Linked DNA regions of Danio rerio. The main gene of each other region encodes a partner of the protein of the gene in region 6 in a complex. Links are inferred from orthologs where the notes say so. Each region holds a gene or a part of one and is shown on either strand. Other genes may lie near its edges. The genes, in order: taf8, taf12, taf5, tbp, taf6, taf7 and taf11.

The links.
Region 1: taf7 (region 6) and taf8 share a complex: the UniProt entries of both Homo sapiens proteins name them as parts of the TFIID basal transcription factor complex. The link is inferred for Danio rerio from reciprocal best matches to the Homo sapiens genes TAF7 and TAF8.
Region 2: taf7 (region 6) and taf12 share a complex: the UniProt entries of both Homo sapiens proteins name them as parts of the TFIID basal transcription factor complex. The link is inferred for Danio rerio from reciprocal best matches to the Homo sapiens genes TAF7 and TAF12.
Region 3: taf7 (region 6) and taf5 share a complex: the UniProt entries of both Homo sapiens proteins name them as parts of the TFIID basal transcription factor complex. The link is inferred for Danio rerio from reciprocal best matches to the Homo sapiens genes TAF7 and TAF5.
Region 4: taf7 (region 6) and tbp share a complex: the UniProt entries of both Homo sapiens proteins name them as parts of the TFIID-containing RNA polymerase II pre-initiation complex. The link is inferred for Danio rerio from reciprocal best matches to the Homo sapiens genes TAF7 and TBP.
Region 5: taf7 (region 6) and taf6 share a complex: the UniProt entries of both Homo sapiens proteins name them as parts of the TFIID basal transcription factor complex. The link is inferred for Danio rerio from reciprocal best matches to the Homo sapiens genes TAF7 and TAF6.
Region 7: taf7 (region 6) and taf11 share a complex: the UniProt entries of both Homo sapiens proteins name them as parts of the TFIID basal transcription factor complex. The link is inferred for Danio rerio from reciprocal best matches to the Homo sapiens genes TAF7 and TAF11.

The regions. Positions count from the first base shown.
Region 1 is NC_133198.1:35,334,898-35,339,281, forward strand, and holds the start of taf8 (transcription initiation factor TFIID subunit 8), read left to right. Parts: upstream 1-1,321; 5' UTR 1,322-1,391; coding exon 1,392-1,439; intron 1,440-3,282; coding exon 3,283-3,442; intron 3,443-4,076; coding exon 4,077-4,175; intron 4,176-4,307; coding exon 4,308-4,370; intron 4,371-4,384. UniProt on the Homo sapiens protein: The TFIID basal transcription factor complex plays a major role in the initiation of RNA polymerase II (Pol II)-dependent transcription.
Region 2 is NC_133191.1:38,670,007-38,674,418, forward strand, and holds the start of taf12 (transcription initiation factor TFIID subunit 12), read right to left. Parts: upstream 2,837-4,412; 5' UTR 2,752-2,836; intron 2,312-2,751; 5' UTR 2,246-2,311; coding exon 2,075-2,245; intron 643-2,074; coding exon 565-642; intron 1-564. Other genes in the region: ctps1b (CTP synthase 1b), read right to left, coding at 3,484-3,562, 3,668-3,812, 3,886-3,982, 4,068-4,123. UniProt on the Homo sapiens protein: The TFIID basal transcription factor complex plays a major role in the initiation of RNA polymerase II (Pol II)-dependent transcription.
Region 3 is NC_133176.1:52,726,526-52,730,991, reverse strand, and holds the start of taf5 (transcription initiation factor TFIID subunit 5), read right to left. Parts: upstream 2,806-4,466; 5' UTR 2,774-2,805; coding exon 2,374-2,773; intron 1-2,373. UniProt on the Homo sapiens protein: The TFIID basal transcription factor complex plays a major role in the initiation of RNA polymerase II (Pol II)-dependent transcription.
Region 4 is NC_133188.1:27,589,260-27,593,069, forward strand, and holds part of tbp (TATA-box-binding protein), read right to left. Parts: intron 1,720-3,810; coding exon 1,628-1,719; intron 1,525-1,627; coding exon 1,357-1,524; intron 344-1,356; coding exon 249-343; intron 163-248; coding exon 83-162; 3' UTR 1-82. UniProt on the Homo sapiens protein: The TFIID basal transcription factor complex plays a major role in the initiation of RNA polymerase II (Pol II)-dependent transcription.
Region 5 is NC_133180.1:59,074,181-59,077,594, reverse strand, and holds part of taf6 (transcription initiation factor TFIID subunit 6), read right to left. Parts: intron 2,219-3,414; coding exon 2,093-2,218; intron 511-2,092; coding exon 337-510; intron 254-336; coding exon 62-253; intron 1-61. UniProt on the Homo sapiens protein: The TFIID basal transcription factor complex plays a major role in the initiation of RNA polymerase II (Pol II)-dependent transcription.
Region 6 is NC_133189.1:45,457,290-45,461,099, reverse strand, and holds part of taf7 (transcription initiation factor TFIID subunit 7), read right to left. Parts: intron 3,414-3,810; coding exon 3,290-3,413; intron 3,166-3,289; coding exon 3,107-3,165; intron 2,670-3,106; coding exon 2,597-2,669; intron 2,262-2,596; coding exon 2,151-2,261; intron 1-2,150. UniProt on the Homo sapiens protein: The TFIID basal transcription factor complex plays a major role in the initiation of RNA polymerase II (Pol II)-dependent transcription.
Region 7 is NC_133198.1:379,653-384,167, reverse strand, and holds the start of taf11 (transcription initiation factor TFIID subunit 11), read right to left. Parts: upstream 2,934-4,515; 5' UTR 2,585-2,933; intron 1,546-2,584; 5' UTR 1,481-1,545; coding exon 1,322-1,480; intron 1,236-1,321; coding exon 1,090-1,235; intron 991-1,089; coding exon 903-990; intron 1-902. UniProt on the Homo sapiens protein: The TFIID basal transcription factor complex plays a major role in the initiation of RNA polymerase II (Pol II)-dependent transcription.

The DNA.
Region 1 (4,384 bases), on a different chromosome or scaffold from region 6:
TAGAATGACACAATATTTATTTATTTAAATCAATAAATATAAATTTACTACAGAAATATTGTCATTTGAGATTGCTTCACAATGATACATTTTGATTGGCAAATCTGACCTTTAACACATTAAGCTAAACCTTCTGCCCCATATGCAGAATGCAGATCTACCGGATATACTAAGACACAATAAAGGAGACCAATTTTGCTTCATAATAAATAGGCGTAATGCATTTCTGTGTCCACAGAATGTGCAGCTACAGCTCAAATTAAGCTACAGATCATTTATTTTTTTATGTCATGCTGCAAAAAAAAAAATGACCCAAAAAATGTGCATCTCTTTAAATGCAAATGAGCTATTTCCAGAAGAAAGTGGGTCCTTTACAGTCTTTCTCAGATATTCTCAAGACAAGACATTGTTTTGGTTTTATCATGTCTACTGCACTTATGTGACATTTTAGTTCATCATCATGATGAAAGTTTATTATCCTCATCCGTTTTAAAGCCTTGTTGGTCTGTCTCGCTTTGTCCACTCATTTCAAAGCATTTGTGGTATCAGCCTTTGCTAAGCAACCATCATCTGTGCTCTCCATGGAAAATTTTTATTTATTTATAATTTTTTAACATGAAAAGATTAAAAGATAATTGGGCCTGACTCAGCATGAATGCTGTTTTTCAGCAGATTCCTGCTCCGCAGAACATAAAAACACACAGACACCCATTAACATGTCAAATTATATGAAAAATACATAAAATAATATAATAATTTGGTAGCATTAAGGTCTGAGGTGTTTGTGTCTACTCCCACGATTCAAATATTATAATAAAACTAGGATTAAAACTGATTTACCTAGCTTTTGTACCTCGTTTTCAGGTCAGAACTTAAAAATTAAATCTTCTGTGTCAGTTTACCGTTTTACTAAAGAATCATGTAGAAAGCAAGGATGTGAACATTTTGTTATCTAAAAGACTTGACATTTCTGTAAGATGTTCGACATTTAACTATTAACATTAACAGCTAGTTCGTGTGTGATGGTTCTTTTATTCAAATCATTAAAATAAAAATAAAGATAACATATTTAGAAGTCTTTAGAATAACTTAATAAAAGTTTTATGAGCATGCTACAATACCGTATTGACGATGACTTCAAAAAATGCAAATTTCTACTTTTGCTTTCATTTTTAGGAAATGGCTATGCAACAGTTATTTCTTTGTTTGACTTTTATTTTGGAATTGCACAGAAAACAACAACCTTCCGGTCGCCCTGTTGGAAATGTTGATAGGGTTGCCATTTTCGCCCAATATAAAAACACCAAATACAGTTTTTAGCAAACGCAGAACGCACAATGAGTTTATTTGCGAATGCTAAACATCAGAGGAAAAACCACTAGAGTTCTAAAATGGCAGACTCGGTAATGATGGGGAGCGGATCTTTAAACTCCGGAAGCGTACGTTAAATATCTCCTTTCATTAACGCTAACGTTACTCTTTCCTTCACCCTGCTGGCTCAGCCAAACAATACTAACTTTAGTTTTTTGATCAAAATTAGACTTAAAGGCACTTGTGTAATATATTTTAAAGCAGACACCGTATCGTATGTAAACACGTCTGTATATATATATATATATATATATATATATATATATATATATATATATATATATATATATATATATATATATATATCAATTATATAGTGAGCTGTTGCAGATCAGTGTCGTCAAACAGTGTTTTATATAACTGGTAAACGTCTTGTTAAAGCCGAAAATCACAAACTTTACTGTACTGCAACTGTACAAACTCAATTTTCTCCCAGCAGGAGTTTTCTATGAAACAATGCTAATGTCACTCATAATGACAAGTTATTGTGCATGGAGAATTGGGTTAGCATAATATATTAACAGTAAACTAGATTATTGACAGGAATGGGCAGTTTTACATACCATAATTTAATACCACACTCTTAATGCAATCCACAGTGGAATAGTAATCTTAACCAGATTCTCAGATGCAAAAATGAATGCAATAGATGCATTTTTGCCTCAGTAATTATAAGCACAGCCTTACAAAATCCCTAACTTTTTGTTAAGGATCCATCCATAAAAAATAAAAAAACATTAACAAAGATTGAGGTAAAGGTGGCTTTATATTCACACATTCAGACTTTGTCCTTAATAATATAAGTTCAGAAACATGTTGTTTGCAAATTCTAAATAGGGAAATCCTATTAGCAGCAGTGATAATGTTGTTTTGAAGTCATTACCTAGCTAAAATTTTACCCAATACTGTTATGTTATCGTTGGCCATGGAATTAATTTAAACAGGATTGGTAAAATACGATGTCTTCTATTTGCTGGACAAATGGTAGATTTAGTAGGTAAAGCTTTTAATCTGATTCAGTTTGACTCAATTGAGTTGAATCAAGTAATTCAGATCTTCAAGATTTGGTTCCTTTAAATGACCTAATAAATCCCTGACCAATGTTTTAATATAGGTTGATCCCTTACACTTAATAATCAAAGTAGCATGGAAAACAATATAGCGACTCACAAGTTGTCACTTTATGAATGTGCCATATAAAACCAACTTAACTAAGCAGAAATTAACTTAAAATCACATACGATTCCACAATGTGAGTTATAGTAATTTCCAGTAAAGTAAATCTACCTCAAAACGTTTTGATTTTCATAAAAACTTAATTACATGACTAACTTTTCCATTATTTTTTCAAAGTTTTATATTCATGAGTCATAACTAGGGCCAGACGGAATCTGCAGATGTTTTTTGCTATTTCTGCTGAGATTTTTGGTAAAAATCTGCGGATTTCTGCAGAATTATTTTGGGAGTATCCAGCGGAGTATCAAAACTAAAACCTTAATATATGAAACAAAAAGTAATAAATTACTGAATAAAAACTGAATAAATTTAGATTTACACATTTACTCAAGTAAATAAACAGAATTAATGATGGGCTAAAAATCTGCAGAAATTCTGCGGAAAATCTGCGCGCGCAGATTTCGTGTGGGCCTAGTCATTACCACTAAATACAATTCCTCTTTCTTCAACACTAATCTTAGAATAAACTTTGAAACCTTTTAAAAACTCAGAAGCTTACAGTATAGGAACCATACTAATTGTAAAACATTTCAAATAAATGCAGTTCATTTAGCCCTAACTTAATCTCTTTTATTGCATTTTCAAAGAAATGCCTTGCTGTATTAAATGCAGATATGTTTTAAAACTTCCTGATCTGTAAAACCTTCTTATCATCTTTTATTTTATTATTTCCAGCGCTCGGGGAGCAGTAAGACCTGCACCAGTCCCACAGAGAACTATCAGCTGGCTCGGAGACGCACGCTGCAAGTGGTGGTCAGTGCTCTGCTGACCGAGTGTGGCTTTGATAGCGCTGAGAAAGCTGTTGTGGAGACACTCACTGAGATGATGCAGAGCTGTGAGTCCTTCATTTACTTTAAGCAGCTCATCTTGACAAAATTTAAAAGCTTATGCATACCAATATCACAAATCATCGCGTTTTACTTTTTACGTTTGTGTGTATTTGTATGTAATTTATGGTTCTATGTTCTAATTTAACCACAGTTTGGGAACCAAAATTGAGCTATAGTTGAATAAAAGCTCACAAAACAATACAATTACTTTACACTTTTCTGTACATTAGAATGTGTCTATTTAAAAATATATTAATCTGAGCAAATAAATTATCACTGAAATGTCAATAAGACTAATATTGTATACACTAAAAAAGTTTTTTTTTTTTGTCAGGCATACAGTATTTAGAAAAGTGTAGCTCCCAAAAATTTTAATTATTGTCATTTTAAATCTTTTTACTTGTTCACTATTTATTTAGATTACTAGTTTACTTATTTGTCTGCTAAGTTATAGTTTATTAATAGGTCATAAATGGATAAATACATGTTTTTGTGTGTCTAGTATGACCATTTATTCTTAAATATATTTTAATAAGTAGAGCTCATGTTTGCTCCGGTTTCCCCCCACAGTCCAACGACATGTGCTGTAGGTGAATTGGGTACTTTTTGATTTTTAAGAGTCTTGTTGTCTTTTGATAGATATAACAGAAGTTGGACGTTGCGCAAAGGCAAACTGTGAGCACACAGCCAGAAGCACCCCTACTCTGTCTGATGTGGTCATTACTCTCGTCGAAATGGGTTGGTTTACTTTCAATGTTAGGACAAATTAAAGATTCAACTTCTTTTTTAATATATATATATATATATACATGGTTTAGTCATGCTAATGAGATTTAGGCTAATCCTGGATTTACTTTTCCACAATCGCAGGTTTTAATGTGGATACTCTTCCAGTGTACGCCAAAAGATCTCAAAGAATGGTTATAACAGCACGTAGGTCTCTATTA
Region 2 (4,412 bases), on a different chromosome or scaffold from region 6:
TCAGTAAATAATATTTTACTAGATATTTTTCAAGATACTTCTATAGAGCTTAGTGACATTTAAAGGCCTAACTAGATTATTTAAGTTAACTAGGCAGGTTAGAGTAATTAGGCAGGTTGTTCTATAATGATGGGTTGTTCTGTATACTATAAATATATAGCTTAAAGGGGCTAATAATTTTGACCTTAAAATGGTGTTTAAAAATTAAAACTACTTTTACTCTTGCCGAAATAAAACAAATAAGACTTTCTCCAAAAGAAAATAATATTATCAGACATACTGTGTAAATGTCCTTGCTCTGTTAAACATAATTTGAGAAATATTTAAAAAAGAAAAACAAAATTCAACAGGGGGGATAATAATTCTGATTGCAACTGTACATCAACTGATTATTTCCCTAAGTGTTTTATATATCATTGCAATTAAAATCCCATTTGTTTCTCACAAACTCAACTATTTATTATTCAAGTGTGTTTAAAATGGTAATTTGGGCAACAAACTGACTAGTCAACAATGAATGTGTGAGAACACTTTTGAACATCATCAATAATAAGACACACGTACTTCTTCCACATCCTCATCAAGTTGCTCATTAGGGTCAATTTCTCGAACAAGGTCCTGCAGCTTCTTCTTACTGAGCACCTGTAGGGAGGACAATAAAAATACATAAATGTCAATATATTTTTAAATTGGCTTAAAAAAGTCTATTTTCACATATAGGTCTATCGCAAATATTGATTATTTGTCTGATCTTTGTTATTTGATCTACTTTCAGGTGTTGAAAACAGGTTTTTTTTTTTTAAATGAGGGAAATTAAGTGCATAAACAAATTAACATGCTTAATATACATTTTACCTGTAAATGACAGCTTGTTTTATTTCTGTGAAGACCAAACTAACAGAGAACCAAAGATCTTCTTTCCCACATATATTGTTATATTATAATATCATATAACATTATGATTGCTTGGTTTTATATGATTTTTTATTTTAATATAAAACGGACCAAGACTCAAAATTTTAACTAAAAAAATACAATTTGAATCTTAACATTTACCACACATTAATATAATTTAAATATAAATATAATTAAAATGGAATTTAAATTTAATTCTAATTTTTATATTATTTTCCATAGTTTTAAAGCCATACTGGCCTATATTTAATCATGTTTCAAAGCAAAATAAAAAGTATATATGTATATAAATAAATAAAATTATTCTAAACTGTTAAAAATCTAAATATTTTTAAAATTATTTGCTTGATTAGTAATCATCAACACAAAATTTTCAATCATGATAGGTATACTGCTACATCCAAAGCTACGGAAGAGTAGAAGTGCAAATCATGATAGATTGAATGAAGCAAAAATGTTTTGACAAAAATAGTCAAACAAATAGTTTTTAAAAACATTTTATTTAACGTTACACAGTTTATTATAGTTGCTACTTTTTATTTTGCTTTGAGACAAGGTTAAATAAGCCAATATGATTTTACATTAATAATGGGGAAAAATGTTATATTTAAAAATTAAATTTATATTCAATTTAAATTGTTATTAATTTTAAACTATATTAATGTAGTTAAATGTTAAGATTTAAATTAGATACTGTTTTGTTTCATTTTTTAATCTAGGTTCTTTTTACATATATAATATAATATAATATAATATAATATAAGTTTTAAAGAAGAGCTTCGACTGTGTATTTGCTTTCTTCTCTAGGTTTCCGCAGAAATGAAATAAATGATCATTTAGAGGAAGGAATGTTTTTATGCATGTTCGTGTGAAAGTAAAAGTTGGTTCGCACATTCAAACTTTCTCAATAATATAATTTCAGAAAAGTATTCTTTGCAAATTCTAATAGTAGAAATCTTATTAGTAGCCAATGACTATCAAAGTACAACATTGTTCACAGTCAATTAAATAGTGCTAATATTCTTTTGTAGTCATACTTTGATGCAAGTACAGACTGAATATTCGTAGTAAACAATATAGGGACCGTCTTACTGAACAAATATCCGAAAATAAAACCAACGTTACCTCAGTCTTATAATAGCTGTACAGTCTGACCCACCTGAGGTCCTTCTGGGCTCAGTCTGCCTGCTGGTCCGGGGGTGCCGGGCAGTTTCCCCGGAGCGACCGTGCTGTTGGCCATGCTGCTGGACAGCGGCGGTGTTGAAGAGGCTTCTGCTTTCACAACCGTGTAGAAATTCGAGCGACTGGTCTGTGCTGGATACTGGGTCATACTATGCTAATCAAGAGATGTCAAATGTCACAAGCCTCTTCAGAACTAGTGGGAGTTTTAAATCAGCTGCAGAAAAAAGATATTAAGAGTTCAACTGAGTTTAATCAATGCATAAATACATTAAGGATATTAAACGGCTGTTTTAAGTAAGTTATATCAACGAAGTGAAGAACTTTTAGCTCGATAGAAATAAACATCACCGAACTGTCATTTGCTGTATATGCTAGCGTTAGCCTTTTTGCTTCGCCAGTGTGTTATGACATAATTCACTTAAACTAATTGATAATGTAAGTGTTATGCTGATATTAATGTGATATAATGCAAATTACCAAATAAGTATGGTTTTTAGTCTGAATTTCTTCATAGTTGTTGTTTTTAATCATCACACTGTAGCTTAACATATTAGCAGCTAACATTAGCGAGAAAAACATTCGTGCCAATACACGTCTCGCGATGCTTTCCTTTTGTTTGATGTAATTCCGTTTAATTGTTAATCGTTGCAGTACCTGATGCAAATAATTCTGTATTATCTTTCCATCTTCGACGTTTAAGGTCTGGAAATATGCACAAGCCCTTCCAAGTTGTTTTTCCTTCTACAAGCGCCTCTTCTGACGAACGGAGCTCAACCGAAGTATCGCGAGATCTCAAAAGTCTTACAAAATAAAAGCACAGAGAAGTTGATGAAGCCTTCTGGAAAATGATCTCTTCCAAATTGTTATTTTATTTGGTAAAGTAATAGTTATAAGTGGTAGAGTGCTCTCTCTCTATATATAAAAATCCCCTAGTTTGTAAAAACAATCAATTTACATATGTATTTGCATAGACAAGTTCAGTGAGCCATTTTAAACACAGCTCATTGTTATTAATGTCAACTCCTGATAAAACCATCCAAGTAATACTAGTTATGATACTCGAAATACAATAAATGTTAAATATTTCATAAAACTTTTAATATATAATATTTCAGCTAGTTCTGTATAATAAAAAATTACTTTAATATACAAATTAAAATTATTAAAACACATTATTTCTAAAATTTTAATTAATTAAATAAATTAAATTAAATGAAAATGTACAATGAATAACTATAAATTATCACTTCTATACCACTGTACACAACACACTTGTTCACATTTTAAAACCAACACATTAGCATTGTTATCCATTTATTTAAATTCATACATTCATATCATAAAACGTCATTCATGTGTTTTTATGATTAGGTGGGTTTTTCCTTTTTAAGAAAGCGATGGGAATTTGAATTCAGAGATTTCCGAGTCTGGTGAACTAGTGCCGCTTCGGTCACTGTATGCGTCTCTGAGAGAGAAAAGGAAAACAAGATAATAAGACAACTTACACAGTATACTGCATGTCTCCACTTTAAATTAATTTAGGATGATATGAGTTTAAGAAGCAACAAACCGAGGTGAGAGCCTGCATCCTTTCTGGAGGTAGTTTTGCAGTTTCCCAGACGCTGCCAGCAGAAGGCCGAAATACGGTGGTGAGGGTTTGATCGGGCGAGAAGTGAATTCTGGATGGTACTGCACTCCAACAAAATACGTGTGATCTGTTTGGACAGAAGAAATCAGTTGAAATGAGCACTGACTGACCGCTTTTTCAAATACTAGACGATCACTGACCTTCAAGTTCAATGATCTCCATCCGCTCCCCCTCTAGGTCCTGACCCACAAATCGAAAACCTCTATCCTCGAAGTGGTGCTTCAGTTCTGGATTCACCTGGAAAAAAATGCAAAGATTACTAACATGAATAAATAGAAAACAAAACATTTACGGTATTTTAGAGTAGATCTTTATTGCAAACCTCAAAGCGGTGTCGATGCCTTTCGTCCACGTATTCAGCATCTCCATACAGCTTTCCTACAACAATATAATTCAAATATTATCTATATGCACTTATTTAAATAGAATGTACATTTATATTTGTGACATATGATTTTAAGATTTTAAGTGGGTAGCGCTGTCGCCTCACAGCTAGAAAGTCGCTAGTTTAAGCCTTGGGTGAGTCAGTTGGCATTTCTGTGTGGAGTTTGCATGTTCTCCCCATGTTCGCATGGGTGCTCCGGCGGGTTCCCCCACAAGTCCAAAGACATGTGGTACAGGTGAATTGGGTAAGCTAAATTGTCCATTGTGTATGTGTGTGAATGGG
Region 3 (4,466 bases), on a different chromosome or scaffold from region 6:
CTAAATGTGTACATTTCTTTCTACGTAAAAGAAAAGAGAAAGTAAATGTTTAATAGTTGATCTATGTTGTAAATCAATGGAATGCAACGATTTACATCACAGACTATCCACAGACTCTGACGTAAAGCAGCAGCTCAGTGTTTCAATAACATATCGTCCCTCATTTTTAACTTATGTGTTAAATACATGTCAGTGACACGGCACTTTATCCATAAGCAGTTTCTAATTTTCCCATTGTGCCAAATAAAAGTATACTTGATGATTTACTCGACATTCATACCTCTTCAAAAGGGGTCATTTCTAAATCTTTACTATTATCAACACAAAACAGTCCCCCACAACACATGTACTGAGGGCTTTTTGAGAGGAGGAACTGAATTTAACAATCGCTGAAAATATTTGTGATCTTATTCTTGCAAGAATACATTCATCATCAATAAACGCTGGGCATACTCTCATACAATTTAAAGTTGTGCACAGAATACACTGGTCTAGAACAAAACTGAATAAAATTTTCCCTGATCTTGACCCAACTTGCCTTCGCTGTACAACCGAATCAGCCACACTGTTACATACTTTCTGGTCGTGTTTCAAACAGTCTGATTTTTGGGGGAAAATCTTCAGGTGTTTTTCTGCTGTTTTTTCATTGTCAATAGACCCAAACCCCTTAACAGCGCTGTTCGGAATCCTGCCAGAATATGCTGAATTAAATTCATTACAGGCCGATAGCGTAGCCTTTGCAACCTTACTGGCTAGACGACTTATTCTTATGAATTGGAAGTCAGCAGCTCCCCCTTATCGGCAATGGGTTTTGGATTTCCTACATGCTCTTCAGATGGAAAAGATTCAATTTACAATAAAACAAAAGCCAGAACAGTTCCAGAAAGTCTAGAGCCCTTTTATGCATTTTTTTTAAAGGAGACACCTATATCTTAATCGCCTTTTTACCTTTTACCTTTCTTTGTATTGTTTATTAATTTTTTTATTTATGTTTTCTTATGTTTGTATATCTTTGTGTGTAAATATGGTATTTTACCTTTTATTTATAAACTTATTTAGAGCATAATTATGTTTTCCTGATAATTTCTTGTTTGGTGAAGTGTATCAGTGTATATATCTATATGTATCATTACTATGTATATTTTAATGTCTGACCTAAGATGAACCTAAAAAAATAAATAAATAAATGAAAAAAAAATTAATTATTAAGGTTTTATATATATATATATATATATATATATATATATATATATATATATATATATATATATATATATATATATATATATATATATATATATATATACATATATATATATATATATATATATATATATATATATATATACATACATATATATATATATATACATACATATATATATATATATGTATATATATGTATATATATATATATATATATATATATATATATATATATATATATATATACATATATATATATATATATACATATATATATATACATATATATATATACATATATATATATATATATATATATATATATATACATATATATGTGTGTGTGTGTGTGTGTCAGTGATAAGAAACAAGTGTCATCTATTAAAACAACTCGATAGTGTATATAAACTCTAATTTTAACAGCTACTGGGATCATTTAAATGTCATTATATGCATCAACATAACAGCTAATAAAAGGGGTATAGTTAAAGAGTAGCTACAAAGTGATGTTTTAACTCTCATTGCTGGTTACAATGTTTAAAGTTCATGTAAAGTGGGTTATGATGTATATGTAAAAAGTGAAATATGTATGCGAGTCGGTTATATGACTGTGTATATGGTATATGACAATTAAACTGTGAATAGTTTGTTTATGAAGAATTCCGTAATGACTGTATATTAAATGTGCAACAATTTTGTGCAGGAAAATTGTCTGTAAATATTCAGAAAGTTTTTGAGATGTATATAATATTGTTTGTGAAGATGTTTTCATTTCCCAGTGATGGGTTGCAGCTGAAAGGGCATACGCTGCGTAAAACATATGCTGGATAAGTTGACAGTTCATTCCGCTGTGGCGACCCCTGATTAACGAAGGGACTAAGCCGAAAATAAAATGAATGAATTAAAGAAAGTTGTTTTCATATGCTGTGTTACAATGCTGTGAAAGTATACAGCTGAGTTTACTCAAAGAAAAAAAAAACAATACAGAAGCAGTGTTTCAATAACATTACTGTCCCTCATCAGGTGGTGAGGGTGCTACAAAAGAACTGTTTTACATCTTCTAGAAATAACTACTGTTGATGACTCTGTTCTAGTGCATTTAATCATTCAGTGGGTTTAATAAAAGTGATGCCCCAGCATCAGTGTGTGTCTGCGGCTGTCACTCACTCTTCGCAGGTATGGGGGTGAGTGTGCTCTGCGGGGCGGCTGCACCGGCGATGGACACACGGCTGAGCAGAGTTTTTGTATCTCCTGCGTCTCCGTCCTTCCCTCCTGCACCGGCGTCGGTATGCGAGTCCTCCAGCTCCTCTGCTAAACCAGCCTCCCGCCGCAGGATCTCCACCGATTCCGCCAGTTTACTTCGCTTCAGGAACTGCAGCACCGCGAGCAGAGTTTGCTGGTCCTCCGGCTTCGGGGCTCCGGCGGCCGGGGCTGCGGTGAGTGGCGATGAGGACAGAGTCCCGCCGCCGGTGTTCCCCGACGGATTTGCCGTCCCATCGCTGAGGATTTCGGGTTTTGTCTCTTTCTCTGCGTCCACCTCCATCGGTCCATCCTGCACAGCCGCCATTTTTCCCCCGGCGCTGGATGTGATTACGTCATGACGCATGTGGTACGTCTGACGTAAATCTGACGTTTTATTTTTATTTTTTTTTCATGTGAACTTTAATTCATTAAACATATACATCATTATATATCTAAGCAGCATATAATAAACAAAATAATATCCATTTTCCTTCGGCTTAGTCTATTCATCAAGGGTCACAACAGCGGAATGAACTGCCAACTTATCCAGCATATGTTTTACACAGCGGATGCCCTTCCAGCTGCAACCAAGTACTGGGAAATACCCATACACACCCATTCACACACATACACTACGGCAAATCAATTCAACTACCGCATGTCTTTGAACTGTGGGGGGGGGGAATACCTGGAGTAAACCCACACAAACACGGGGAGAACAAGCAAACTCCACATAGAAACGCCAACTGACCCAGCCTGGACTCTAACCAGGGACCTTCTTGCTGTGAGGCGACAGTGCTAACCACTGAGCCACCGTTTCACCCTACAAAATAATAGTAATAACAACATTACATCATTCTAATAGTGCGACACGGTGGTGCAGTCGGTAGCATGCTCACCTCACAGCAAGAAGGTCGCTGGTTCGATCCTCAGCTGGGTCAGTTGGCATTTCTGTGTGGCATTCAGTTTGCATGTTCTCCGGGTGCTCCGGTTTCCCCCACAAGTCCAAAGACCTGCAGTACAGGTGAATTGGGTAAGCTAAATTGTCCTTAGTGTATGTGTATGAATGAGAATGTATGGGTGTTTCCCAGTGATGGGTTGCAGCTGGAAGGGCATCCGCTGCTTAAAACATATGCTGGTTAATTTAGTGGTTCATTACGCTGTCGCGACCCCAGATTAATAAAGGGACGAAGCCAAAAAGAAAAAGAATGATATACTAATACAAAGATATAAATCTGACGTTTTGTTTTTGAATGAAATTCTCTTTCATTTTATTTGATTTTTGTCTTGTTTTCTGTTATGATTTGGATGTCATAATTGCAAATTTGTGTTATGGTTTTATTTTTAAATATTCAGCATGTGCAATAATATATATATATATATATATATATATATATATATATATATATATATATATATATATATATATATATATATATATATATATAAAGATATAAAAAATATACATATAAAAAAACAAAAAACAAATGTGTGTCACTAATAAAGTTTGTGGAATAAAATTATACATAAAATGTATCCAGCAATAACAGTGATCTCTCAGAATTTTGTATATACTTTAAAAACTAAACTCCTTTTTTGTAATTATGGATGTTTTTTATTCAATTTATTTAAATTTTACTTAAATGTTATATTATTATTATTATTCTGTCTTTCTGTTGTTATTTGAATGTCTTCACTGCATGATTTTGTTATATTTTTGATTGTTAAACGTTCATCATATACAATGAACAAAACAAGGGAAGAGAGGCTTGAATGTGTTTTTAGTTAAATTGTTGAATATATGATAGATGTATATTGAATTGCTACATATAGACATACATATATATTTTCAAAAGGAGACAGCATTTGTTTGGTTTTGAATGGCCTTTTTCCTACCATTTACAGGCCCATAGACAGCCTGGTGAAAGGTGTGGTTCTTTTTTTCTCAAAAAGTGGACCTTTTTTCAGCTATACCCCTAATTTTCTATTTAATCTTGAGAATTAAATATTTTTAGTGG
Region 4 (3,810 bases), on a different chromosome or scaffold from region 6:
ACAAAATTAAACGAAATTGCGTAGGTCACCCCAGACATACCGATGGGCTCAGCGAGGAACTGACCAGCAAAAACAGAAGAGATTACGAGGTCTTCCTGAATCCTTTTAAGATGGGGTAAATATTCTCAAATGCTTCATAGATTTCTCCTCTAACCTTGGCACCTGGAAACAAACGACAATGTTCATAAATCTCACACTACTATTGCAAGGTACTATCTGTGCCATTTCAAATGTAACTATGACCTCACCTGTGAGTACGACTTTGCCTGAAACAAATATTAAAAGAACGATTCTGGGTTTGATCATTCTGTAGATTAACCCTGGAAATAACTCCGGTTCATAGCTGGGGAGGAAATATCAGCAGTATATTAGAGTTTAGATCACATTTATCAGTCAGATTCCAATTTCTAGTCAAAATAGTGCTCACCAAGAAATAACAAACACACACAGCAAATACTTCAGTATAATAGAAGCAAACACTTATTTTTCTAGAAATGTCACTTTTTTTATGATCATAAAGACATGCAGCATATATCAGGCTACTAAAAACAAGCTCATTTATTTTTCTCTTCTAATACTGGTAACATTTAAAACATGTTCTGTCTCCAGTGACAAAGCATAACTGCACTTTGGGCATCCCAAGTTCAAATCCTGGTATGAGGAAATTTCTCTATCCAGTGCCCCTTTTCCTGCCAAACTTCTCTTCCCATCTAACTATTGTCCAATCACAATAAGTGAGAGGAACAAAAGCATGTTAATAATAATAATAGTTTGATTTTATTCAGGGTCACTAGTAGTCAATTTGCATTGTATTTAAGGTTCTGTAAAGTGCTTTTAAATGTGGGTTTTTAATTCTGACTTTTCCCACCAGAGTCTCCGCTTTGTTTCTCCATGTTTAAAAACAATATCTAGATTCTACACTGTAAAAAAAAAAAAAAAAAAAAAAAGTTTTTTTTGCTGCAAAGCCTTTTTTTAGTAGACTTAACTTTCAACCCAAAATACTGCACAAGACTCAAAACTTCTTAAAGCAGGTTGCCTTAATTTTAATTTGAGTCAACCTTGTAGGATATATCCTATTGGAGTTGCAAATGTGATAGAACCTGCCATGTAGGACTGAAAACTAAACTAAACAAATAAATGTATAAACCAAATAAAAAGTTTTTTTCTGACAGTTTAACTTGTGCCCCCAATTGATGCGCATTGTAGGTTTACAAATTACTTGAAATAAAGTAAGAAAAAAAAATCAAACTGAAATCACGTAGTATGAAATAGAAATTCAAATAAATTCAGAAAAACTCAAAGTAGTTTAAATAATCAACAAATTAATAACAAACTAATCAAAACCAAAAGACAAACCTGCTAAACTGCTGGTGGGTAAGCACCAGGCCCTCTAATCGGATGGGAAACTTGACATCGCAGCTCCCCACCATGTTCTGGATTTTGAAGTCTAAGAATTTGGCAGGGAAACCCAACTTCTGCACCACTCTGGCATATTTCCTAGCTGCCAATCGAGACTGTTCCTCACTGTGGCAGGAAGTTCACACAAGAAAGGTAAACTCACATACTGCTGTTTGTTCATCAAGAATGTAGAAAGACACAACAGCAAGTGTGCAGGTGACATTCATACCTTTTGGCTCCTGTGCACACCATCTTCCCCGAGCTGAAGATAAGCGCTGTTGTTCTGGGTTCTCGTATTCTCATGATGACGGCAGCAAAACGCTGAAAGAGTTATCAATGGATGTACAAAGTTTGTTATTGTAATGAAACTTGAAATAATATAAAACTTTGTTAATGATGTAGATTTTCTTTGTTATTTTGTTTTACTCTGTATATGGTTTGATTTTGTTGAATGCATTAAGTTGTGGTTGGCGTCTTTAATCATGACACAGAGATTACTGAGCCTACCGAATATATGGTGCATATAGTAATGGACATGAAGCAAAGTCATGGAACGCTAGGTGAAAAATGCCAAAAAGGCACAAGCATATGTCTGATTCACGGATTCCCCGTTTATGTTTTAACTCCTGGTATAAGGGAAAATAAGACTATTTTAATTTATTTAATTTATTAGGCTGGCTTGTGTAGCAAGCCAGACTACTGTTATCCTATTAAACTTATTATTATTATTATTAGGCTGGCTTGAGAAACAAGCCAGACTACTGAAATCCTATTTAAACTTATTATTTTTTTTATATATTATTCTTCTTCTTCTGAGACTAAAATTCAAAATCTATCTCCTCCTAGAGCTTTCGAGCTATGACCACCAAACTCACACCAGACCTCCAAACTATTCTGACTCGGTATGCCATATCTTTTCCGACTGATCCGACTTTCGATTTTCCGAAAAACGTCCCGGGACCGTCGGAAAAATCCCATAGACTTAACATTGGACCAAACTTTGTGACCTCATAACTCTGCGTCAGACTGTCGCACAGAACTCTAACTGGGCTCATTTAACTCAGACTATCAAACTGCCAATGACTGATCACCTTTAAACTTTCTAGCCACGCCCTAGCAACCACTTTTGGACCCTAGAAACTGTCCCATAGACTTCCATTCAAAAGACTCTCATTGACTTAACATGGGATCAAACTTTGTGAGGTCATAACTCTGCATCAGACTGTCCTACAGACTAATGGCTGAGCTCATTTAACTCAGACTACCAAACTGCCAATAACTGATGAGCTTTTAACTTTCTAGCCACACCCTAACTACCAGATACTGCACCCTAGCAACAACTGTCCCATAGACTTTTATTGCAAAAGACTGTCATTGACTTAACAATAGATCTAACTTTGTGACCTCAAAACTATCTATCTATCCTTTTTTCAAAATAGATAGATAGATCTCTATCTATCTATCTATCTATCTATCTATCTATCTATCTATCTATCTATCTATCTATCTATCTATCTATCTATCTATCTATCAATCTATCAATCTATCTATCTATCTATCTATCTATCTATCTATCTATCTATCTATCTATCTATCAATCTATCTATCTATCTATCTATCTATTTATAAACTACTTTAATCTATCTATCTATCTACCTATCTATCTATCTATCTATCTATCTATTTATAAACTACTTTAATCTATCTATCTATCTATCTACCTATCTATCTATCTATCTATCTATCTATCTATCTATCTATATATCTATCTATCTATCTATCTATCTATCTATCTATCTATCTATCTATCTATCTATCTATCTATCTATAAACTGCTTTAATCTATCTATCTAGCTATCTATCTATCTATCTATCTATCTATCTATCTATCTATCTATCTATCTATCTATCTATCTATCTATCTATCTATCTATCTATCTATCTATCTATCTATCTATCTATAAACTGCTTTAATCTATCTATCTATCTATCTATCTATCTATCTATCTATCTATCTATCTATCTATCTATCTATCTATCTATCTATCTATCTATCTATAAACTGCTTTAATCTATCTATCTATCTATCTATCTATCTATCTATCTATCTATCTATCTATCTATCTATCTATCTATCTATCTATCTATCTATCTATAAACTACTTTAATCTATCTATCTATCTATCTATCTATCTATCTATCTATCTATCTATCTATCTATCTATCTATCTATCTATCTATCTATCTATCTATAAACTACTTTAATCTATCTATCTATCTATCTATCTATCTATCTATCTATCTATCTATCTATCTATCTATCTATCTATCTATCTATCTATCTATCTATCTATCTATTTATAAACTACTTTAATCTATCTATCTATCTATCTATCTATCTATCTATCTATC
Region 5 (3,414 bases), on a different chromosome or scaffold from region 6:
ATCTTTGTGAAATAAAATTTTGTTATATTACATATAACACAAATTACTTTAAAACTCTTACCTGCTGTGTGGATGCAGCCCCTGCACTTGTTGCCATAACAATATACTTTGTTGCTGGGGGTGATGGCTGAGTGGGTGTTCCAGGTCGAGTAGACATGAGGGTAAGTGAACTGGGTACTTTAATTATGCTGGGTGTACGTGAAACACCTGATGTTGACAATCCACTCTGAGACATTGTCAAAGTCGGACGTGGCTAAATACAAGACGGAGAGAATTTAGGTTTGATGTGTATGATTTTAACAAGTATGACAAATATTTTATTTAAAATTTACTCACCTGTGTGATAGTAAGTGTGGTTCTGTTAACAGTTTGGGCCTGAAAGGCAGCCTGTGCACGGGCCTTCACCACATGTGAACATAGCATAGTGCCCAGATAACCATAATCTGCTTTGTATTGCTCCACCAGATCTGGGACCGGCCTAGTTTTAGCAACCACACTTGCACAATGTTTCTAAACACAGAGACCAGAAGGAATTACATTTTTTTAATGCATTTTATATATACAATCATATATATATATATACTAGTGCCGATATACATCTATATCACACTGCTACGAGTGTGATATTGCGTTTATACAACAGTTTGACGGCATAATTGTGTATATAAAAACAAAATCAAACATGGAAAGTCTCAAAAACTTTTTTTTGAGGAACTCTTTTCTTCTGCGTTGGATTGAAATCATAGGCTGACAGTTAAACAGCTGAGCAAGCATCCTTTAAACTTTGATCTGAAGTGTCTGCTTTTTGCTGGCTGCATGTGGGCGGAGTAATACACAAAGTGTAAAGAGGCTGTACTGGTGCTGATATTAAATATATCACTGCTATCAGCCAATCAGATTCGAGAACCAGACAGAACTTTTATTTATATATATAATGGCACAGCACAGCTCTTCGTCAGCTGCTGCAGAGATTAATCTATCTCTGTCTATTCTATCTAGTTACACATATCTCTATACAAAAACACTTAAAATAAAAATAAAAAACTTTTTAACCGTGGCAGCCTTCTACTATGCTGTTTCTTTAACCTGCAAGTCTTTTTTTTTAGAAAGAATAAAGATCCTACAATATTGTATGCTTCTCAAGCTCTATGAGGAATGTCATTCATGTCTGGCGCACTCACAAGATAATCGCCTGAGATATGTCATTTGGTTTTTGATTGTCAGGTTGTTGTAGGCCTAGTTATAATAATATTTATACAATATAGTTATAATGATATTATTACAAGATCAAACTAGTGTTACTTTCTCTGCTTCAGTGATGTCCAGCGGTAGAGTAACAGCTCGTGTAAAGGATGAGACGAACAAAAGTAATCAATGCATGCCCTTCTTTTACTTATTTTCGTGTTGTCAGGTTTACAGTGCAAACAGCTCCCAGGTGAAATAACTTAATGAACATAAAACAAAGCCAAATAAAACTTTCTTCCTCTGCTTTAGCTGCACAGCACAGAGCGAGCTCACATCATCCAGCATGCGAGTCAAACTACACTACCCACAATACATTTCGCTATGGACTACAACTCCCGTAAATAGCGTCAACTTTCTATTTCCCTTTTCCTGCAACACTAGTGTGCAACTTAAGCAAAACAGATACTAAAATTGTTTTACATTTGGTTTTGTAGTTCAGGCCTAAGATCCGTCTCATGCTTCCACTAGAGTGAAAGCACCACCAGCAGTCAAAAGTGACCAAAACATCAGCCAGAAAGTATAGGAACGGAGAAGTGGTCTGTGGTCACCACCTGCAGAACCACTTCTTTATTGGGGGGTGTCTAGCTAATTGCCTATGATTTCCACCTGTTTTCTATTCCATTTGCACCACAGCATGCAAAATTGATTGTTAATCACTGTTGCTTCCTAAATTGGCAGTTTGATTTCCCGGAAGTGAGATTGACTTGGAGTTCCATTGTGTTGTTGAAGTGTTCCCTTTATTTTTTTTAGCAGTGTATAAATGACCATGTAAAAAAACTTAAAAGCATAAGATAAACACCACAACAACTGCTTATCAACGATTAAGAGGCTGTTGTAAGGTACTTACCAGTAATAGACTCTGGACATGATCAGCTCCAATCTTATCAATATTGGATACCACTGGCCCATCCATCACTGCTTTAATACGGGCACCCTCTACAAACAGTCGGGGGATGATCAAAGTCTTTATCACCTACATAGTCAGAAAAAGACATCAAATTTCTCAATTTAGAAACTTAATGCTTTTAATGCTTACAGTTTTTCCACATAAGTGCCTTCAAAAGTCAGACACCATGGACAATTTAGCCTGAAATCAAATAATGTCAAATATATCACAATTTTTTTTTGGGTCCAGTTGAAAATGGGGCCCGGCCCTCCAGCGGGGAAAGAGCAAATTCCCTTTTCTCTGAATTGTCTCAGGTCTCAGGTACGCTTAGGTGTCTGTTACCAGACTTAATGGCACCCTAGGCAAGGAGGGCTGCCAGCTTCCGTGGTACTTGACGTGCCCGCTTCGGCAGAGGCACAGGCAGGCTTACCGTCCTGCCGATAGATGACATTACACATCGCATTAGACTGCTCTCTCACCACCTTGAATTTCTGGGGGAATTCACAGACGGTGTCACAGAAAAGGCCAGCCTTGGATATGAGCAGGGCCAGATTGAATCTGCGGATGTTTTTTGCTATTTCTGCGAACAATTTTGGTAAAAATCTGCAGATTTCTGTGAAATTATTTTGGGAGTATTATAACTAAAACCTTAGATGTAAAATAAAAAGTAATACCTTTTAAACTTTTATTTAATGTTTGAATTGCAAATTCAATTAGATCCACTTTATTTGGTAAACAAAGCAAGTCACTATATATCTACTAAAAGAACAATTTCATATTAGTCAATAATATTACTGTAATTAATAAAAAACTGAATAAATTTAGATTTTCACACATTTACTTAAATAAATGTAAATAAACAGAATCAACGATGGGCTAAAAATCTGCGGAATTCTGTGGAAAATCTGCGGAACTCTGCATGCGCAGATTCAGTGTGGCCCTAGATATGGGGCAGTCAACACACACACACACACGCGCGCACACGCACGCACGCAGGGGAGAAAGACAGTGTGCTTAATGACGGTGAAATGTTTGATACCGCACGTCGTATTGGAGAAAAAAAGCCTCTGCTTTCTCTGCAGAGATGCACTCAGTAGGTCAGAAAGCCATGTGTGTGTAGACAATCCTGTCACAAAATGTGGCGAAAATTCAACACGACGGTCGGCAAAAGTTTGCTTACAGTGCTCACGTGTCTACACACAGAGAGCAGCATTTACAGCCGATCTTTTAATATTGTAGTGATATCAACGTACTGTAAACCAAGTAACTTAGAAATCATTTTG
Region 6 (3,810 bases):
TCCGAAAACAATGCTGACACGCAATTAACATGTGGTGGCGTTTGAAGGAGTGAGACGTGGAGCATAGACACTCCTGATTTAATTAATATAATAATGTAAATAATTACTTAAAATATATCAACGTAATCAATAATATAATAACATTAATACAGAAAAGGTTAAGGCATTTTAGAATGACTAAAACATCATTTCAAATGTGCGTTTTGATTTGTCGATTCACAAACATTTTTATCATCACGTGATCTCTTATAACAAAATCACATGACTTTTTTTAATGAGCATCCTGAAATTTGTTTAAAAAGTGTTTCCATCGTAGAATATGCACATCATCTCTTTTTGAATAAAACGTTTATTTTACTCAGTTAACTTTTTATCTTGCCGTTTACATCAACCCTTTTTTTGCGGATATCCAAAATGTACAGTTGGATGGAAACATAGCTTATGAGTGTGTCTGTGATGTGCTCCCTCTAGTATATTTGATAGGTGGCCAAATGTTTTACACAGTTTTGATTTAGCTTTTCTTTTGTCTCCTTTTTAACACCCAGTCTTTTAAGCTGTCCTTTTGAAACCAATTGTTTTACTTTATTTATCCTGACATGTGTGGCTTAGTTAATAGGTACAGTCTGGTGGCTGTATCTGACTTAAGTGACTGCCAGTTGATGAGCATGAAAGGAATATGTTGGAGGTAAAAAATGAGGCTGCAGGAATGTTAAAATTCTTTAGTTTAAAAAAAGAAATTCTTAAAATAAATTAAGCAAAAAAGGTCTTAGTCTTAGTTAACAGGTACAGTCTGGTGACTGCATCTGACTTAAGTGACCAGGCGCATACACAGATAGGGCTCAACCTGCGCTGTGCACATGCCCTTCTTTCTCTTGGATATAAAGTGCCCTTCCAAAATAAAGTAAAGAGCATAAAAGCAGAATAATTTATAGGTAAAAAAAAAAAGATGCAGAAATTGTAAAATTCCATAGTATTTTTTTTTACATTAAGTAAAAAAAAAACTCTTAGTGTTTTAGTTAACAGGTACAGTCTGGTGATTGCATCTGACTTCAGTGACTGCCAGTTGATGAGCATAAAAGGAATACATTTGGAGATGAAAATGAAATGACATGAATGGTAAAATTTCTTAGTTTAAAAAAAATGATTAAAGTTAATTCTTAGTTAAGTCTTACTTAAAAGGTACAGTCTGGTGACCAGTATTGGGGGAAGCTACTTTGGAAAGTAATGCATTACAATATTGAGTTACTCTCCTTAAAAGTAACTAGTTGTGTTACTTAGTTACATTTTATCGTAAGTAATGCTTTAAGTTAATTTTGCCTTGCTTTTTTTCCTTACCAGGATGAGGCTTGATCTTTTTCAGAACTTGCAGGGTTTTTTCTTCCTTCTTTTTTTTTTTTTAATAGAGAAGCGCTGCAATTAACAACACACTGTATAACCTACAACTTAATTTACCTTTAAAAAAACACATCTGAAAACGAATAATGTAGGATAATGTTATCTTCTGAGAACTTCCTGAGCCGAAAGCTCTACATGTCATATATACAGATGAATGACATTTTAAAGCAATGTGTATGCTGCTTTTGTGCTTTTTGTCTTATTAGTAAAGTACAAGCCATTTTCAAGTACAACTCAATTTCTTTTCAAAGATTTAAATTAATGAACAAATTCTCTCATCTCAATTTTAATTTAGCAATTTACTTTTTAAAAGCTAAATAATTCAACTAAAAAGTAACTTGCACAACATTTTTCAAAGAAGTAACTCAAATATTATTACTTTATTTTATTAAGTATTGCCTTACTTTACTCGTTACTTAGAAAAGTAAGATTATTACATTACTCCTGTTACTTTTAATGCTATACCCCAACACTGCTAGTGACTGCATTTGACTTTAGTGACAGCCAGTTGATGAGCATGAAAGGAATAAACTGGAAGTAAAAAAACGAATGGCATGAATAGTAAAATGATAATATTTCTAAAATGTTATAGAAAACTTACATTTTAAAAGTAAAATTGACAAACAAATATCCCTGATATTCCTTGACTTTGACATATAAATATATAAATTCCCTGACCCTCAATTTTCCTACAATAAAGATCCCTTACCCATGGGAACCCTGAAAGCAGTAAGATTTGTATTCACAACATTTACCTGAAGAGCCATGACCCTTGTGTCCAGAGGTTCCGGGTGAAGACTCCAGGTTGGAAAGAGATAAGCTGTTGTCAGGTTCTTTAGATTCATCTTCAGCAATCACCTCCCATCCTGACCGCAGGGTCAAGGTTCATTTCAATAATCCTGTTATCTTTTCATCCTCTCAGTTTTGGCACCAGGACATTTTGCTGTGGTTGTATCACTGCTGCTGAGCTACACAAATTTATATGTGACTCATGCCACCTTTTCCTGTAATACTGAGCTTAACTGACTGCTTCTTGCCCAATCGCTCTGCTTAACTTGTGAGCAAGTCTGCCACCTGGTGGCGAGGCCAAGTATAACGAAAGCTCAATCCATTAGTAATGACATTTTCATGTAGATTTGTTGTGACACAGTTTCAACAAAACATGACAGCGAGGGAAACAAAAGCAAGAATTAAAGGATACGAACGCTGACGGCTTCTGCATCTGTGCTCAAGAGTCTCTTCACCTCTTTTTCCACATCAGGAGACTCGATGTACTGCAGGATAAATCAGGTTAGAATTTACCCCCAAGGAACACGTTGTAAAAAAAAAAAAATGCACGCATGCATTCAAATGCACACACAGTACTAACAGTAGAGGTTGGATGTAGGCCAGAGAACACATTAGCGATTAAAAAAAGAAGCCAAGTCAATAGCAAGCTGGAATGCAGTGGTGATTTATTCAGGAGTCAGAGAGAAGAACCAGCCGCTAACTGGCCTGCTGTCATTTCAATCAGAAGAGCAGCCTTTACTGCATACTTTTATGGCAAATGAAGATGGAATGCTTTATTTATATGTAAATCTTAGCTTTTACCATTAACTCGATTCTCTTTTCCCGCAAGAGCAAACAATTGTAGTCCATCTAGGACTGATAAAGAATTGCTGAATCATCAGAAATAAAAACCTCATAGTTAAGGAAAAGCAAATGAGGTTACCTTCTTCTTCGCTGTCTTCCTGAACCGCCTCTTTCTTGTGTTCTTTAGAGGAAGTGTAACTGAATGGAGACAGATGTAATTGGATGTTAAAAGGGTTGGATCATTTAGTACAGACAGCCTGTCTCTACATTCATTTGAAACCAATTAAGATGATATTTCAGTAGAGGAGAGGAAGCTGCTTACTGCCGTGGTTCCAAACAAATTTCTTGTCTTTGTCCTTGTCTTTCTTTTTGCTTTTGGAGTCAGTAGTGCCTGTAGGCTCCTCTAGAGGGGGGTACAGATCTCCATCTAGTGTGCATACCAGCATCTAAAACAAAAGCAGAGAAATTAACGCGAAAATTAAACTTCTGTTTGTTTTTGTTGTTGTTTTTTTCCCAAAAATGTGTTCTTTTTGTTTTTCCATTTTCTTTAATGTACTGTTGAATGTTTATTAAATAAATAAAATAAATAAAACATATATATATATATATATATATATATATATATATATATATATATATATATATATATATATATATAGATATATAGATATATAGATATACATACACAATAGCTGTCTGGTTCTCGAATCTGATTGGCTGATAGCCGTGATATATTTAAATAATATAAGCACCCGTACAGCCTCTTTACCCTTTGTGTATTACTCCGCCCACATAGAGCCAGCAACAAGCAGACACTACAGATCTAAGTTTCAAAGATGCTTG
Region 7 (4,515 bases), on a different chromosome or scaffold from region 6:
CACGCCTGCGCCTAAACTAATGCATCACTCACACTCAATATGAAAGAATTGATGGACTTCCAGCAGGGGGCGCCTGTAGACCAGCAGGAATAACATTCAGTTTCTTTTCAGCTTAGTCTCTTTATTAATCCGGGGTCGCCACAGTGGAATGAACCGACAACTTATCCAGCATATGTTTTACGCAGCGGATGCCCTTCCAGCTGCAACCCATATCTGGGAAACACTCTTACACACTCATTCACATTACATACAATTTAGCCCACCCAATTCCCCTATAGCGCGTGTGTTTGGACTGTGGGGGAAACCGGAGCACCTGAAGAAAACCCACACGAATGCCGGGAGAACATGCAAACTCCACACAGAAGCCCCAACTGAACCAGCCGAGACTCAAACCAGAGACCTTCTTGCAGGAATAACAATGCTGCCATTTTCTTTTCAGCTTTGTCCCTTTATTAATCAGGGCTCGCCACAGCGGAATGAACCGCCAACTTTTTCAGCATATGTATTCAGCAACCCATCACTGGGAAACATCCATACACACTCATTCACACACACACACACGCATACACTACAATCAGTTCCCCTATAGCGCATGTGTTTGGACTGGAGCACCTGGAGGAAACCCACGCCAACACGGGGAGAACATGCAAACTCCACACAGAAACACCAACTGACCCAGCTAAGACTCAAACCAGTGACCTTCTTACTGTGAGGCGATTATGCTACCCACTGCAACACCATGTTGCCCAATATTCACAAATTAAACTTAGGCAGACAGCCACACACTGAATAATCCAAACAGACACAATATTTACCAGCTGTAAAAGACTTTAATACTTTCTCTAAACAGATTGATCAACTCTGAATTCTTTTTAAGACCTGTTTTTAATTTAAAGACTCACTCTTTTAATAGCTGCCTTAGGGAACGCCGAGCGCCTGTACATCTCATAGCGGTTCAGCTGCTCTTCAGAGAACGATGATACTAAAACTCTGAAACACAAACACGTCTATTAGTGTTATTATCAGTTTACAGCTACACACACACACACACAACACACACACACACACACACACACACACACAGCTCACTGCATCTTCTGGATTTCGTCTTCATCCACTTTGTGGCGTTTCTCCTTCTTCTTGTCGTGCGGCTCCACTTTCAGCTTTTTGGCAGGAGGAGGATGCAGAGATGAAGATCCCTCCTCCTCTTCATCACCAGCATCTTCAGCAGGCCTCTGAGGAACACAGTGATGCATGGTTGATTTATTTGCATGAGAATGAAACTGAATTCATTGAGGATGCAGAATGAAGAGGCAGAGACCTGACTGAGCGTCTTGCCCTCCTCTTTTACAGCAGTCTGTCCCGCAGCAGGGTCAGAGCTCTTACTGCTGCCCTCCGGACCCTCACTGGACCCCTCGCCCGGTTTGGGTCTGTCCACCGATGTGCCCGCTTCAGGTTTCACACGGGCCGGGTCTGCCATGATTTCAGCTGATGGATCAGGGAAAGGGAATGTGGAAATAATGGACACTGCTGTAGTGTGTTTATCTGCAACACATGAGCGGGAGTCCCTGATCCAATTACAACTGAGCACTGCAATAACACTGTTCTAACTCAGAGTGTCTGTTTCTAGTCCAAATATCTAAAATATCTCAAGAAGCCTTGCTTGTGTTTCATGATTGCAATATATATATATATATATATATATATATATATATTTTTTTTTTTTTGTAAGAATTACTCTGGATGAATACTATTGAATGTAAAAAAAAATTACAAAGATTACAAAAAGCAATTATGTAGAACAAATTGTCATATTACAAAAAAAGAGAGCAACCATTCATTACAATTTTTAAAAAATGTTTATATATATATATATATATATATATATATATATATATATATATATACATATATAATTTTAATGCACATGTATTTAATTAATTATTCTAATCAAATGATTATTTATTTGATTTTAATATTTAATTATATAATATACAATCTTTGAAAAGAGAGAGCAATTTGTTGTTGGTTTACAAAATTAAGAAAAAGATTTAAGGAACATTTAAGGGGAAAAAATGTGTAAACAGGCAACCATTGACTTATAATAGGAAAAACAAACCCTACAGAAGTCAGCGGTTACCGGCTTCTAGCATTCTTCAAAACATCTTCTTTTGTGTTCAACAGAAGAAAGAAACTCATAAAGGTTTAAAACAAGTAAAGCAAGAGTAAATGATGACAGAATTGTAATTTTAGGGTGAACTGTTGCTTACAATGTCAATACTGTCATTACAGTTTATAATTTAGTCTGTGTCTTCTATAAAACATATAGAGGTGAAGTTGGTTGTATATTCTGATATTCAGACATTCTCCTCAATATAATGTCAGAAAAGTATTGTAAATAGGGAAATGATATTAGCAGCAAATGACTATCAAAGTACAGCATTGTTCACAGTCAATTAGACAGTGTTAATGTTGTTTACAAGTCATACTTGCATGCTAATTCAGATCCAATATTCAGAGTAACATGCTAAACAATATAGAGACTGCTAAATGCACCAGTGTGCGGATATAAAACCTACTTTACCTCTAAATATCCATTAAGTCCCCATATATCATTGTTATTGATCGTAAACAACGCGATTAAACAGGGCTCTATCTAATGTGCATTAGCTGTATTAACGTTACACTCGGTCATCTTCAATGTAATGATAGTTTACTTTAGGTGAAAACGGTAACTTAACGATCATCGTAACTTACGATGCTATGTGTATTTGGGGCCGGATTTAACACTTGTTAGACAAAATAAAACCGTGAATTCATAAAAAAAATCAAAACATACCTAAGACCGACAACCGCGTTGAAAATAATGTTTAAAAACACAAAAATCCAACGAGTGTTCTCTGACGAGCGCCTCAGACCGACAAAGTAAACACGAGCATATCCGGTTAAACTACAAAATAAGAGTCCGCACAAGCGTGCACAGCCACGTCAAACACTTGGTGGCGCACAATACTATACATTAAAGCAGCGGTTCTCAGATTTCTTTCATCAAGGACCACCTCAGAAAAAATGTCTCTTCAAGAACCACCATAAGGAGCAGTACTGAAATGCAGAAGTGTAGTAGGCCCAATGAAGCAGCTCTGCACAGTTCAAAAACAAGGCAGATTAATTCCTATTAATACGAATATTTATTATTGTCAGCCACTTTAAACATTATAAATAGTTGAAACATAAACACTGTGCTTACAGTTACAAACAAACAAACAAACAAACAAACAAACAAACAAACAAACAAACAAACAAACAAACAAACAAACAAACAGGGACTAATAACTGATTTAATCCATCAAAATTCACTCGAGCTTTTAGTTTAATTGCAGAAACCCTTTAATTATTCATAATTATATATTTATTTGATAGATATTCACAAATGATTAAATCACATTTAATTATTTAAATGTACCCCTTGCATATAGTTAAAATTTTATGCTTATATTTAAATAATAATAATAATAATAGGCTAATTAATGATGTTATTTCAAATTATCCCATTTCAACTAAACGATATGTACCTAAAATGTCCATAAGGAGTATTTGTTTACTTTTTTATTTTATTAACTTGAGTAAATGTATTTTTTTATTTTTCACTGATTTGTTTGTTTGAATATATTGCCCATTTATTTATTTATTTTAATCAAATATTAATTACTTATTTGTTTCATTTTAATAATAAATATAATTTAATATATACAATGCAAATAATAGATATTTGCACTGATTATTTTAGCATGGTCAGGTTACATAAGTCAAATTGTTTCTTTTATTTTAAAATTGATTAAAATGATTTTGACTACTTGAAACCTAATTTTCAAGCCACTATTAATAACAATAATAATACGCATAATTCATACGAACTGTGGCCTCACAGCAAAAAGGTCTCTGGTTTGAGTCTCGGCTGGGTCAGTTGGTGTTTCTGTGTGGAGTTTGCATGTTCTCCCCGTGTTGGTGTGGGTTTCCTCCGGGTGCTCCGGTTTCCCCCACAGTCCAAACACATGCGCTATAGGGGAACTGATATAATGTATACAATATTGTGTAAACAGTAATTATACCCAGGGTTATTTTTATTAAAAAATGTGTGTGAATGAGTGTGTATGGATAATTTCCAGTGATGGGTTGCAGCTGTAAAGGCATCCGTTGTGTAAAACATATGCTGGAATCATTGGTGGTTCATTCCGCTGTGGCGACCCCTGATGAATAAAGTGACTAAGGCAAAGGAACATAAAAGAATGAATGAATAATAAATAAATCAGTAAATGGACATCACATTCAAACAGACGAATCAGTTTAAAATTAACAATAAAATATAGATGAAACAAAAGTAAATAAAACACTAAAATAAACATAATTACAGTATTATTATCTTGAGTAGAAAAAGATATGCAATAATATTAAAAAGTGCACATCATTATAGTGATTCAGTTTAAAGAAACTCCTGAAAAGGGCTGTAATTATTCC